Linked DNA regions of Oryctolagus cuniculus. The protein of the gene in region 1 interacts with the protein of each later gene in a biochemical or structural test. Links are inferred from orthologs where the notes say so. Each region holds a gene or a part of one and is shown in the gene's direction. Other genes may lie near its edges.

Region 1 (3,655 bases):
TTGCTTCTTCCATTCTAAATTTCATGTAAATTTTCTCTTTCCATTATTTTTTACTTACAGGATTTGAGCAGCATTAACTGTATTTTCCTTTTTTTAAAGGTGGTAGTTGGGCAAGGAGTAGGTAGAGGGTGATTTTTCTTTTCTTTGAACTCAAATGGCCATGTGAGTTTTTTGTCACATAAATTTTATGGTTACTTATATTTAGCATTGAGTTTTTTGAGCATAGTTTCTTGCCATGGACATTTTTGTATGGTAATTGATGTTTTGAAATGCAAAATTATATATTTTTTAGACTATGAACTACATGTAAGGTAATATTCTGATAGAATTAGTGAGATAATTAAAATTTATATAAGTAGCATCATCTGATATAAAGTATAACTTGTCTGTATTCATACACCATAATGACTGGTGTAGAAGATTTGCTGGGTTAAAAATAGAGAACAAAACATTTAAAATCCCAGTCTGGTTTTGTTTGTAGTGACTTTTTGGTGAGTTTGAACATTTGTTAAAGTGAGCTTCCCAGTGCTGGTAGATTTTTTATGCTTTTTAATGAAAACTAGGACATATATTCTTCCCTGTTTTTTTCTGACACCAAAAATGAAGAGTTTTTCTACACTAACAACAAATTCTCTGATTCTAGCTGGATGTCTAAAATTCAGCTGAATTCTGACACTAACTCCCAGGGTTAGTGCAGACCCTACCAGGCTTAGTCCCACAAGGTTGGCCCCACTTCAAATGCCAGTTTCAAGTCCCAGGAGCCACCTATACTTCTGACTCACCGGTTATAAATTATCCCAATTGCCTCCTCACTTTCAATAATTAACTACAGCTAATCATAGAACTCAGAAAACATTTATATTTACTGGCTTATTATAAAAGACAAAATCAGGACCAGACAACTAGAAAAGATGCGTAGGGTAAGGTATAGGGGTGCCTGTTGTCCCAGCACTTTCATGTTTTTACCAAGCAAGAGGCTCTCTTTCAAGAATCTCCTGTTTTAGAATTTTTATCCCAATCTGCAGCTCCATTCTTCTCCCTGGAGGTTGGAGGTAGAAGCAAAGTTACTACCTTCTTAGCCCCAGTTAGTCTTTCAAGTAGCCAGCCCCCATTCTGAGACTTTCCTGGGTGCCCCCCTCTGAGTCACCTCATTTGTACAAACCCCAGTGTGGTTAGAGGGGCTTGTTATGAATTATAATAAAAGACACACTCCGGAAATTTTGAGGGTTTTAGGAACTCTGTGCCAGGAATTTGGGACAAAGACCAAATACATTTTTTATTATATGATAATTCTTATTATGCTTTAATGATAAGAAAAGTTTTCTTTTGATTGTGTTTTCCATGATGTAATCTGTTATGTGTAGGATAGAATTTAATGGAAGAATAGAAATTAAGTTCGATTTTTAGCAAAAGTCAATTTATTGCTTTTTCTTTCATAGGTCACTGATGAATTATTGGAAAAAATTGCATCAAGAAGTCAGAATATAATTGAAATCAACATTTCTGATTGTCGCAGTATGTCTGATACTGGAGTATGTGTTTTAGCATTTAAGTGTCCTGGACTTCTTAGGTATACAGCCTACAGGTGTAAACAGCTTTCTGACACGTCCATTATTGCGGTTGCCTCTCACTGTCCTTTACTCCAGAAAGTCCATGTAGGTAATCAGGACAAACTTACTGATGAAGGACTCAAACAGGTAAATTTTCACATCTGTGAACTACTTTTACTGAAATTAACTTAAGATGCTTTCTTATAGCAACATTTGAAAAGGTTCTTCGTTAAAAATAATGCTTGGAAACCAAAGTGAGTTATCTTTTTTATCTATCAGTGAATATGTATTTGCATTGGAGAACTACAGTGCCATGTGTGATCTGTAAATTAACTGTCAATTTTTGCATTAAACTTCTGAGACCAATGATTTTATTAATTTATGTTTCTGTTACTTAGTTTTATACCTAGTTTTGTTTTAGATAATAGTATGCAGTTTGGGTCAACATGAGTTGTTTTTTTTTTTTGACAGGCAGAGTGGAGAGTGAGAGAGACAGAGAGAAAGGTCTTCCTTTGCCGTTGGTTCACCCTCCAATGGCCGCCGTGGCCGGTGCGCTGCGGCCAGCGCATCGCACTGATCCGATGGCAGGAGCCAGATACTTATCCTGGTCTCCCATGGGGTGCAGGGCCCAAGCACTTGGGCCATCCTCCACTGCACTCCCTGGCCACAGCAGAGAGCTGGGCTGGAAGAGGGGCAACTGGGACAGAATCCGGCGCCCCGACCGGGACTAGAACCCGGTGTGCCGGCACCGCAAGGTGGAGGATTAAACATGAGGTTTTAAAAATTAACTTTTAATTTCCCTTTTATGTTACTAGATGACATACTTACATACTTTAAAACATCTAAATGAGACTTAAGCCTATGGTGGTTAAGATGCTTAGGTCGCCTGCCAAAAGCACCTGGGCTCAATACCTAGCTTTGTCTCCTGAAAACAGTTTCCTACTAAGGCAGACTCTGGAAGGCAACAAGTGATGGCTGACTTAGTCAGGTCCCTGCCACCAGACTGGGTGGAGCTCTTGGCTCCCGGGTTTTGATCTGGCTTAGCCCTACCCTAGCCTTTTGGGAAATGAGCCCATAGGTGGGCATGAGCTCTGTCTCTTTGTCTTCATCTGTCTCCCTCTGTCTCTTTGCCTCCTAAAACAAAGCAAAAGCAAATCCAAATGTATTAAGGCATCAATGCAAGTCCAAATTAAAGAGTATAAAATTAAGAAAAAGAGTGAAAATTAAATCTATTTGGCACAGTACTTCAATTATAAATACTTCCTTCAGAAATGGCACTTGAGACTTTACAGCTCAGAGTGGATTATTCACTCAAGGAAAGAAGGTCGTTTAACGTTACACATGAATTAACTGAAAGTCCAGTATTAGAAGAACTTTAGAGGATTGTATCCTAAATAGTGAGTACTGGATTTTGTCAATTCAGTGTATGTTTTAAGAATGTTAACAATTCATAAGGGGGAGCAAATTTCATCTGCAAAGGCAAATTGTGCAGTAACAGTGTTAGTTAATAGTTTTACTAATTGATTTCTGTAATATACAGCATTATTCACTAGCAAAACATTATATAAAGTTCTCAAATCTGTTAAATTAATCTATGAGAAAATTAACATTTTATGGCTGTAGCATACTTTTAATTATTTTGATAGAAATTTCTCAGCAGTTTATACTTAACAGTGAAACTTTAAAAAATGTTCAGTGGAATTTTTACATATTTTTTTCTGAGCAGATTTTTTTTTTTATTCTTTTTTGTTTTTAACGAATGAATGAATTTGAGAAGTAGAGAGACAGAGAAAGAGACAGGTAGAGAGCTCCCAACTGCCAGTTCAGTCCTCAGATAATCCAAACTGTTGCAAAGCTGATTGGCTGGAACTCAGTGTTTCTCACCTGTGGCAGGGACCCAACTACTTGAGCAATCACCTGCTGCCTCCCAGGGTATGCATTAGCTGGAAGCTGGAATTGGGAATGAAGCCAGGACTTCAACCTTGGCATAATGACACGGGATGTTGGCATCCCAACCCACCTCTAACAATGAAACATTTTTGAAAGATTTCTTTATTAAAAACTGCATTAAATCTGTTACATAGTTAAATCTGACAGACTGCTGA
Region 2 (3,655 bases), on another chromosome or scaffold:
TTGGATAACAGCGAGTCGAGAATTCAGCACATGCTGCTCACAGAGGACCCGCAAATGCAACCCGTGCAGACACCCTTTGGGGTAGTGACCTTCCTCCAGGTGAGACACGGTTGGCCTCTGCCTGGAGCCTTCCCTGTGGGAAAAGTTCTGGCAAGACAGGAGCAGGAGGTTTTCTTTGATCCCCTCCATCTTCTGTTCCCGCTGATGGTTTGTCAGCAGATGATCTGCCTTAACCTTCTGAGGTGGCAGGAGGGGAGGGAAGGGGCTGCCTGGGTGTGAGAGGATGACTAGTGGAGTGAGGTCACAGGGAAGGTATTTTGTGAACCAGGAAAGGTGCAGACAGCCGCAGGTGCAGCTGGACTCTACTTTCCCAGAAGGGCTGTGAATCCACACACCACACACATACCACACCACACATACCACACCCCACACACACATACCACTCACCTCATGCACATACCACACTACACACACACCACACACACATACCACACACACACATACCACACACACACATACCACACACACACACACCACACCACACACATACACACACACACCACACCACACTACACACACCCCACACACACACACCCCACACACACATACCACACACACACACCACACATACACACACCACACCACACACACACACACCATACACACACATACCACACACATACCATACCACACACACACACACACCACACCACATACCACACCACACATACACACCACACACATACCACACACACACACCACACCACACATACACACCCCATACACACACCACATACCTCATACACATACCACACTACACACATCCCATACACAGACACACCTCACACACATACCACACCACACACATACCATGCCACACATATACACCACACACACATACCACACACACACACATACACACACATACCACACACCTCATGCACATACCACACGACATACACACCTCATGCACATACCACACCACACACACATACCACACACACCATACACACATACCACACACACTCCACACACAATACACATACCACATCCCACATACACCACACACTCATACCTACACACACACCTACACACACAAACACCACACACACACCACACATGCACACCACACGCATACACACACACCACACATGCACACCACACGCATACACACACACACCACATGCACACCACACGCATACACACACACACCACACATACCCACACACACCACACATACCCACACACACCACACACACACACACACACACGCTGCAGCAAGTGCTGGCTTTGGGTCATAAGGATGTCTCTACAGAGGTTCAGGTGTTCCCTGGAGGTTTACAGACTTAGCGCCTGATGAGGGAAGAGCTTCTCTGCAGAACTGCCGGAGCATCTGGGCCGTGGTCCCGAGCCTGAAGGGTCTCAGACCGTGTGCAGTCCCTATAATGCCAGACAGTGGGAACATCTCCCTGAACCGCCTCTCAGCCTAGCGTTAAACCTTGTGTCTGCCAGAAACCTCACCCTTCACCGCAAGGGCAGGCAGGCGTCAGGCCTCAGTGCTGTCTGTGGACCCAGCCATCTCCTAGCCAGGCGGCAGCCCCCTCTAAGGTTGGGTGCCAGCTAATTTGAGACACAGCAGCTCCCAGCACAGATCCTGCCTGTGGTCTCTCCCCTTGAGGTCCCCCAGGAGAGCCTGGTGGCTGCGCTTCAGGGAGGGATGATCATTAATGCACAGTGGCATCTTGTCCCCCGCCCTAGATTGTCGGTGTCTGCACCGAAGAGCTGCACTCAGCCCAGCAGTGGAACGGGCAGGGCATCCTGGAGCTGCTGCGGACTGTGCCTGTGTGAGTACGTGCCCCTTGGGGGGGTGGGGCCTGGCGACGGGAGGGGGTCCCTGTTTCACCCCACATGTGGGGCTCCCTTTGCATTGCTGTTTCAAGCACTGGTTTTCCCATCAGGGCTTCCTGACAGTCTGTAACCTGGACTGTTCCCCTGTGTTCGGGGACTGGGGCAGCAAACAGGGCAGGCTTTCACCCCAGCCTGTCAGCCCCAGACCCTTAGTTACCATCGTATCCCCTTTCCTTGTCCACAGCGCTGGCGGCCCCTGGCTGATAACTGACATGCGGAGGGGAGAAACCATATTTGAGATCGATCCACACCTGCAAGTATGTCTTGAGTGAGGGAAACCTTCTAGCACATGGTGCCTAGTCCTCTTCCAGATAACACTGACTTTCATCCTGGGAAAAGAGAGGAGCCTGATATGTGATTGAGTAGAAATATGGCATGATTTGCGACTTGTCCCCTGAATTCCGCAAGTACACAAAGGGGAGCGTAGATTTCAGCCCAGGCAAGTCTATCTCAGACACATGCATTTTGCATTTTAAAAGGGTGAATTTTATTGTATGCAAATTATGTGTCAACTTTAAAAATTAGATCTCTAGCAATGAAAGAAAATAAGTAGATATGGCTTTCTTGCCAAATATTCATTCCTTTACTTCCCCCTTCTTTTTTTTTTTTTTTTAAGATTTATTTCATTATATATTTGGAAGGCAGAGTTAGAGAGAGAGAGGGAGAGACAGAGAGGTCTTCCATCCACTGGTTCACTCCCTAAATGGCCACAGTAGCCAGGGATGGGTCAGGCCAAAGCCAGAAGCCAGGAGCTTCTTCTGGGTCTCCTACATGGATACAGGGGTCCAAGCACTTGGGCCATCTTTCGTTGCTTTCCAGGCACATTAGTAGGGAACTAGATTGGAAGTGGAGCAGGCAGGACCCCCAACGAGCACCTACACGGGGTGACAGCACTGCAGGCAGAGGCTTAACCACAACACCGGCCCCATAATTTTCCCTTCGTAAAGAACACAGACAAGGCTCACATTGTGGCACAGCAGGTTAAGCTTCTGCTTGCAATACCAGCATCCCATATGGCCACCAATTTGAGTCCTGGTTGCTCCATTTTGGATCCAGCTCTCTGCTAATGAGCATGGGAAAATAGCAGAAGATGGCCTAAGTGTTTGGACTCTTTCAACTTACGTGGGAGACCTAGATGGAGTTCCAGGCTCCTGGCTCTGGTCTAAACCATCCCTGGTCATTGCAGCTGGTTAGGAAATGAACCAGTGGGTAGAAGATCTTATTCTCTCTCTCTCTTCCCTCTCTGTCTCACCCTCCTCATCTCACCCTCTCTCTATGTGTGTCACTCTGCTTTCCAAATAAGTAAGTCTTACACACACACACACACACACACACACACACACAGACTTTCAGGGAGCTTTCTCACCCCCACCTCCGCCCCTTGCCAGACAGTGGTGCAAGTGACACCACTCCCTGACCAGCTGCAGCGCTGGTGGGCCTGAGGCCCTGCTCCTCCTTTGAGACACATGCTCCAGCCTGAGCAGTCAGATACTGAGCTGCCCTTCCTGCTGGCTAGGTCAGCATCCTTCATGTGTAAAGGAGTCTTCAGACACGCAGGCCTGCAGCTGCCCCTCACAGTGGCCCACCTGGACAGCCTCACCGTCTTTAGTGTCCTAGAAGAAGCACTCATCAGCATGTGGATGGATTTTGAAAGACCCAGGAGCATGCCTGCTTTTGCTATGGCCTGCTCAGGGAGCAGGAGCAGCAGGCATCCTACCAGGTGCCTGCCATGGGCGTGGCTCCTGCT
Region 3 (3,655 bases), on another chromosome or scaffold:
CCAGGAGCCAGGAGCTTCTTCCGGGTCTCCATGTAGGTGCAGAGGCCCAAAGACTTGGGCCGTCTTCCACTGCTTTTCCAGGCCATAGCAGAGCGCTAGATCAGACATGGAGCAGCTGGGACTTGAACCAGTGCCCATATGGGATGTCAGTACTGCAGGCAGTGGCTCTACCCGCCACACCACAGCACTTACCCCACTATTGTGTCTTAAAAGTTCGTGAGCAGGGCCCAGTGCTGTGGCGTAGCAGGTAAAACTGCAGCCTGCAGTGCTGGTATCCCATATATATGGGCGCCGGTTCAAGTCCCAGCTGCTCCACTTCCGATCTGGCTCTCTGCTATGGCCTGGGGAAGCAGTGGAAGATGGCCCAAGTCCCAGACCCCTGCACCAGCATGGGAGACCCGGAGGAAGCTCCTGGCTCCTGGCTTCGGATCGGCGCAGCTCCAGCCGTTGCATCCGGTTGGGGAGTGAACCAGCAGATGGAAGTCCTCTCTCTCTCTCTGCCTCTCCTTCTCTCTGTGTGTAACTCTATCAAATAAGTAAATAAATAAATTTTTTTAAAAAGAAGTTCATGAGCACTAGTGGTATGTTCATGGAACTTTTGCATTCTATTCGACAGTAAACTCTGTTTTAGTGTGAAGTCAGTGTTTTCAGTTATTCACTAATAAATTTGATATTCCAGAAGGTGCCACCTACTGTGTATATCTGGGGTTCAGGTAACTGCCCACCCCATTCAAAAAGCTACAAATACATGTCCTGTCTGCTCTATACAAGTCCAGCGAAATAGAGTGGTTTGTTTAATGTGTGTTCAGTTCATACTATCATCAGCCTTTCAGCTCTCGCGTTGGAGATGCTGCGTTTGCCTTGTGAGAGTCTGAGCATCATTCTTACTCGGAGTTTGTAGCTTTCAGAGAAGGGGAAGCCTTACGTTGATATCCAGGGTCTGACGGCGTCCACCATGGAGATCCTGCTGGACTTCGTGTACACAGAGACGGTGCACGTGACGGTGGAGAACGTGCAGGAGTTGCTGCCCGCAGCCTGCCTGCTGCAGCTGAAAGGTACGCGCCCCAGGTGTCCCCGGAGGTGTTGGAATGAGCGCTGCAGACTCACGCGTGACATTGATGGAGACAGACTCGGGACGCTTGCCTTCACTGCCCTTGGCTTTTGTGTGGGCGGCAGAATACCAGGTGTCGATAGCCATGTAAAGGGAGCTCTCGCGATATGAGCGCTTGTTTCTTTGAGGGAGAACAGTTCCACCTGTTCTGCTCCTAAAGACCTGGAGGAGGGCACGGTGTATGCATTTCCTTACGTTTGTGCACCTGGTGCTCCTCCCCGTAAGGAAATTAACGAAACTGAGACTGTCTGTGGCCTGCATGGATACTGCTCCTCTTCTAGGGAGGCTGGAGTGGGGGGAGGGCTTTTCATGGGCAACCCTTTTGTTTCTTTAAGTTTTTGAACCATGTAAAATATCAATTAGAAAATAAAAGCTAAATCAGCACTCAAAAGTGAAAGTAGGTTTTCACAGGAATGGGCTGCCTTCCAGCTCCCAATCTGCCTTTTTAAATTTCCAGTCGCTCTCATTATATTCAGTCCTGATATACACGTAGTTTAACATTTCCAGTCTGAATGCAGGATTTTGAGACTGTGAAGCTTTTGCATTCGTGCACAATTACAAAATTCAGTTTATGCTCAGAACTTTGCCATTAGAGCAGTACAAGGTTGTTCTGAGGGTCCGTTAGTAAGTTTTGACGTTACGGAGAAAACGGTGCATTGTGCTGAATCAGCACTTGCGTTTAAAGCTCGGTTCGCAGCAGTGTTAGAAGAGTTTTGGTTTCGTTGCGCCAGTGTCCCTGCCATCCTGATTTTAAAGATGAGGTAGAGACAAGTGTGAGGTTCTTGCTTGAAGCCACAGAGCACATAAGACAGAGTGAAACTGGAATTTGTGTGCATAAATTTTTTTTTACCTGTTTCTTAGATGTTGAGCCAGGGTTCCTCTGATAGAAAAGATATTGAGATCCTAGAATATATACTGGCCAAGTGTACTGAAGTGTTCACCACCTGTTTGTCCTAGGTGTGAAGCAAGCCTGCTGTGAGTTCTTGGAAAGTCAGTTGGACCCTTCTAACTGCCTGGGTATCCGGGATTTTGCTGAAACGCACAATTGTGTTGACCTGATGCAAGCAGCTGAGGTCTTTAGCCAGAAGCACTTTCCTGAAGTGGTGCAGCATGAAGAGTTCATCCTTCTAAGTCAGGGAGAGGTGGAGAAGCTCATCAAGTGCGATGAAATCCAGGTACAGGTTTGGCGTGGTGTCTGCCGCCTTCGAAGCTGGGCCGCTAGGAAACTCGCACAGCGGGGTGAAGTTGCCGTGTGTCTGTAGCAGAGCCTCATAAGTAGGCGTCCGTACTGGCCAAGGGTTTGTTAACTCCCCACAGTTATATATATCAAGCTTCTTTGCATGTTTATAGAGAGCCCGTCACTTTCCTCAATTAAATGTATGATGCCAGTGGTGAGATTCTCTGTTAGGCAGAATGCAGAGTGAACAGGAACCGCAGGTGGAGTGGGTGTCTGTTGACCTCTTCTCTGTTACCCATTCACTCCTTTAGACGTTTATTGAGCATTCTGCTGTGTAGCAATCACTGTGCCAGGGATATGGAGTTCCTGGTTCCCGGGAATGCACAGTACAGTAATAGGAGCAGCTAGACGAACACAGGAGAGTAGTGAGTCCATACAGGGTAAGATCACGTGGAAGGAGAGTAAACCTTTGCTCGGGTGTGGAGCGGAGAGACAGAAGTTTCAAAGTGAGGATGTGCATAAGCTGGAACCAGGTCCTGACTGCGCTGTGGGGCTGGTGGGGACAGGAGGAGGGGACAGGTCAACTGGGTGTCAGAAGAATAGCGCTTGCCTGGCAGAGGGGTTAGGTGCTGCCTGTGCCGGGCAGGCCTTCAGTGTCTTAACCCAGCAGGAGGAGGCTGAGCAGTTCTCACTCCAAACCGCAATACCAGCAGCTAGGCAGAGTTTTTTATTGCATAGAGGTCTATAGTGAGGCGAAGAACTAGAGTTAGAAATCCACACATGGGCCGGCGCTGCGGCTCACTAGGCTAATCCTCCGCCTGCGGCGCCGGCACTCTGGGTTCTAGTCCCGGTTGGGGCGCCGGATTCTGTCCTGGTTGCTCCTCTTCCAGTCCAGCTCTCTGCTGTGACCCGGGAAGGCAGTGGAGGATGGCCCAAGTGCTTGGGCCCTGCACCCGCATGGGAGACCGGGAGGAAGCACCTGGCTCCTGGCTTCGGATCGGTGCAGTGCGCCGGCTGTAGCGGCCATTTGGGGGGTGAACCAATGGAAGGAAGACCTTTCTCTCTCTCTCTCTCTCGCTCTCTCACTGTCTAGCTCTGCCTGTCCAAAAAAAAAAAAGTCCACAGTCCACACATGGGGCTGTTAAATATCTTTGAACTCATAGGATTCATCTCCAGTGGCCCAATTCTTCAGTTAATAATTTCTAGAAAATATCTAGAATCAAGTCTACCTGTTGAGCTTGTTTTACCCAGGTAGAAATTTGATTCTTCAGAAGACTAAGAAATCATTTTTGCTCCTCTCTGGTAATAATAAGAGGGTGATTTTTGGAACTGGCATTTGGCACAGAGATTAAAATTTATGAGCCTAC

The links.
Region 2: of the proteins of FBXL17 (region 1) and SUFU, one has a biochemical effect on the other in vitro, tested with the Homo sapiens proteins (2 studies listed by BioGRID, with this or other methods). The link is inferred for Oryctolagus cuniculus from reciprocal best matches to the Homo sapiens genes FBXL17 and SUFU.
Region 3: the proteins of FBXL17 (region 1) and KLHL12 form a complex in vitro, tested with the Homo sapiens proteins (3 studies listed by BioGRID, with this or other methods). The link is inferred for Oryctolagus cuniculus from reciprocal best matches to the Homo sapiens genes FBXL17 and KLHL12.

The regions. Positions count from the first base shown.
Region 1 is NC_091445.1:30,982,018-30,985,672, reverse strand, and holds part of FBXL17 (F-box/LRR-repeat protein 17), read left to right. Parts: intron 1-1,439; coding exon 1,440-1,697; intron 1,698-3,655. UniProt on the Homo sapiens protein: Substrate-recognition component of the SCF(FBXL17) E3 ubiquitin ligase complex, a key component of a quality control pathway required to ensure functional dimerization of BTB domain-containing proteins (dimerization quality control, DQC).
Region 2 is NC_091446.1:27,386,936-27,390,590, reverse strand, and holds part of SUFU (suppressor of fused homolog), read left to right. Parts: coding exon 1-99; intron 100-1,758; coding exon 1,759-1,844; intron 1,845-2,092; coding exon 2,093-2,165; intron 2,166-3,655. UniProt on the Homo sapiens protein: Negative regulator in the hedgehog/smoothened signaling pathway. Down-regulates GLI1-mediated transactivation of target genes. Down-regulates GLI2-mediated transactivation of target genes. Part of a corepressor complex that acts on DNA-bound GLI1.
Region 3 is NC_091444.1:18,658,990-18,662,644, reverse strand, and holds part of KLHL12 (kelch-like protein 12), read left to right. Parts: intron 1-901; coding exon 902-1,055; intron 1,056-2,068; coding exon 2,069-2,286; intron 2,287-3,655. UniProt on the Homo sapiens protein: Substrate-specific adapter of a BCR (BTB-CUL3-RBX1) E3 ubiquitin ligase complex that acts as a negative regulator of Wnt signaling pathway and ER-Golgi transport.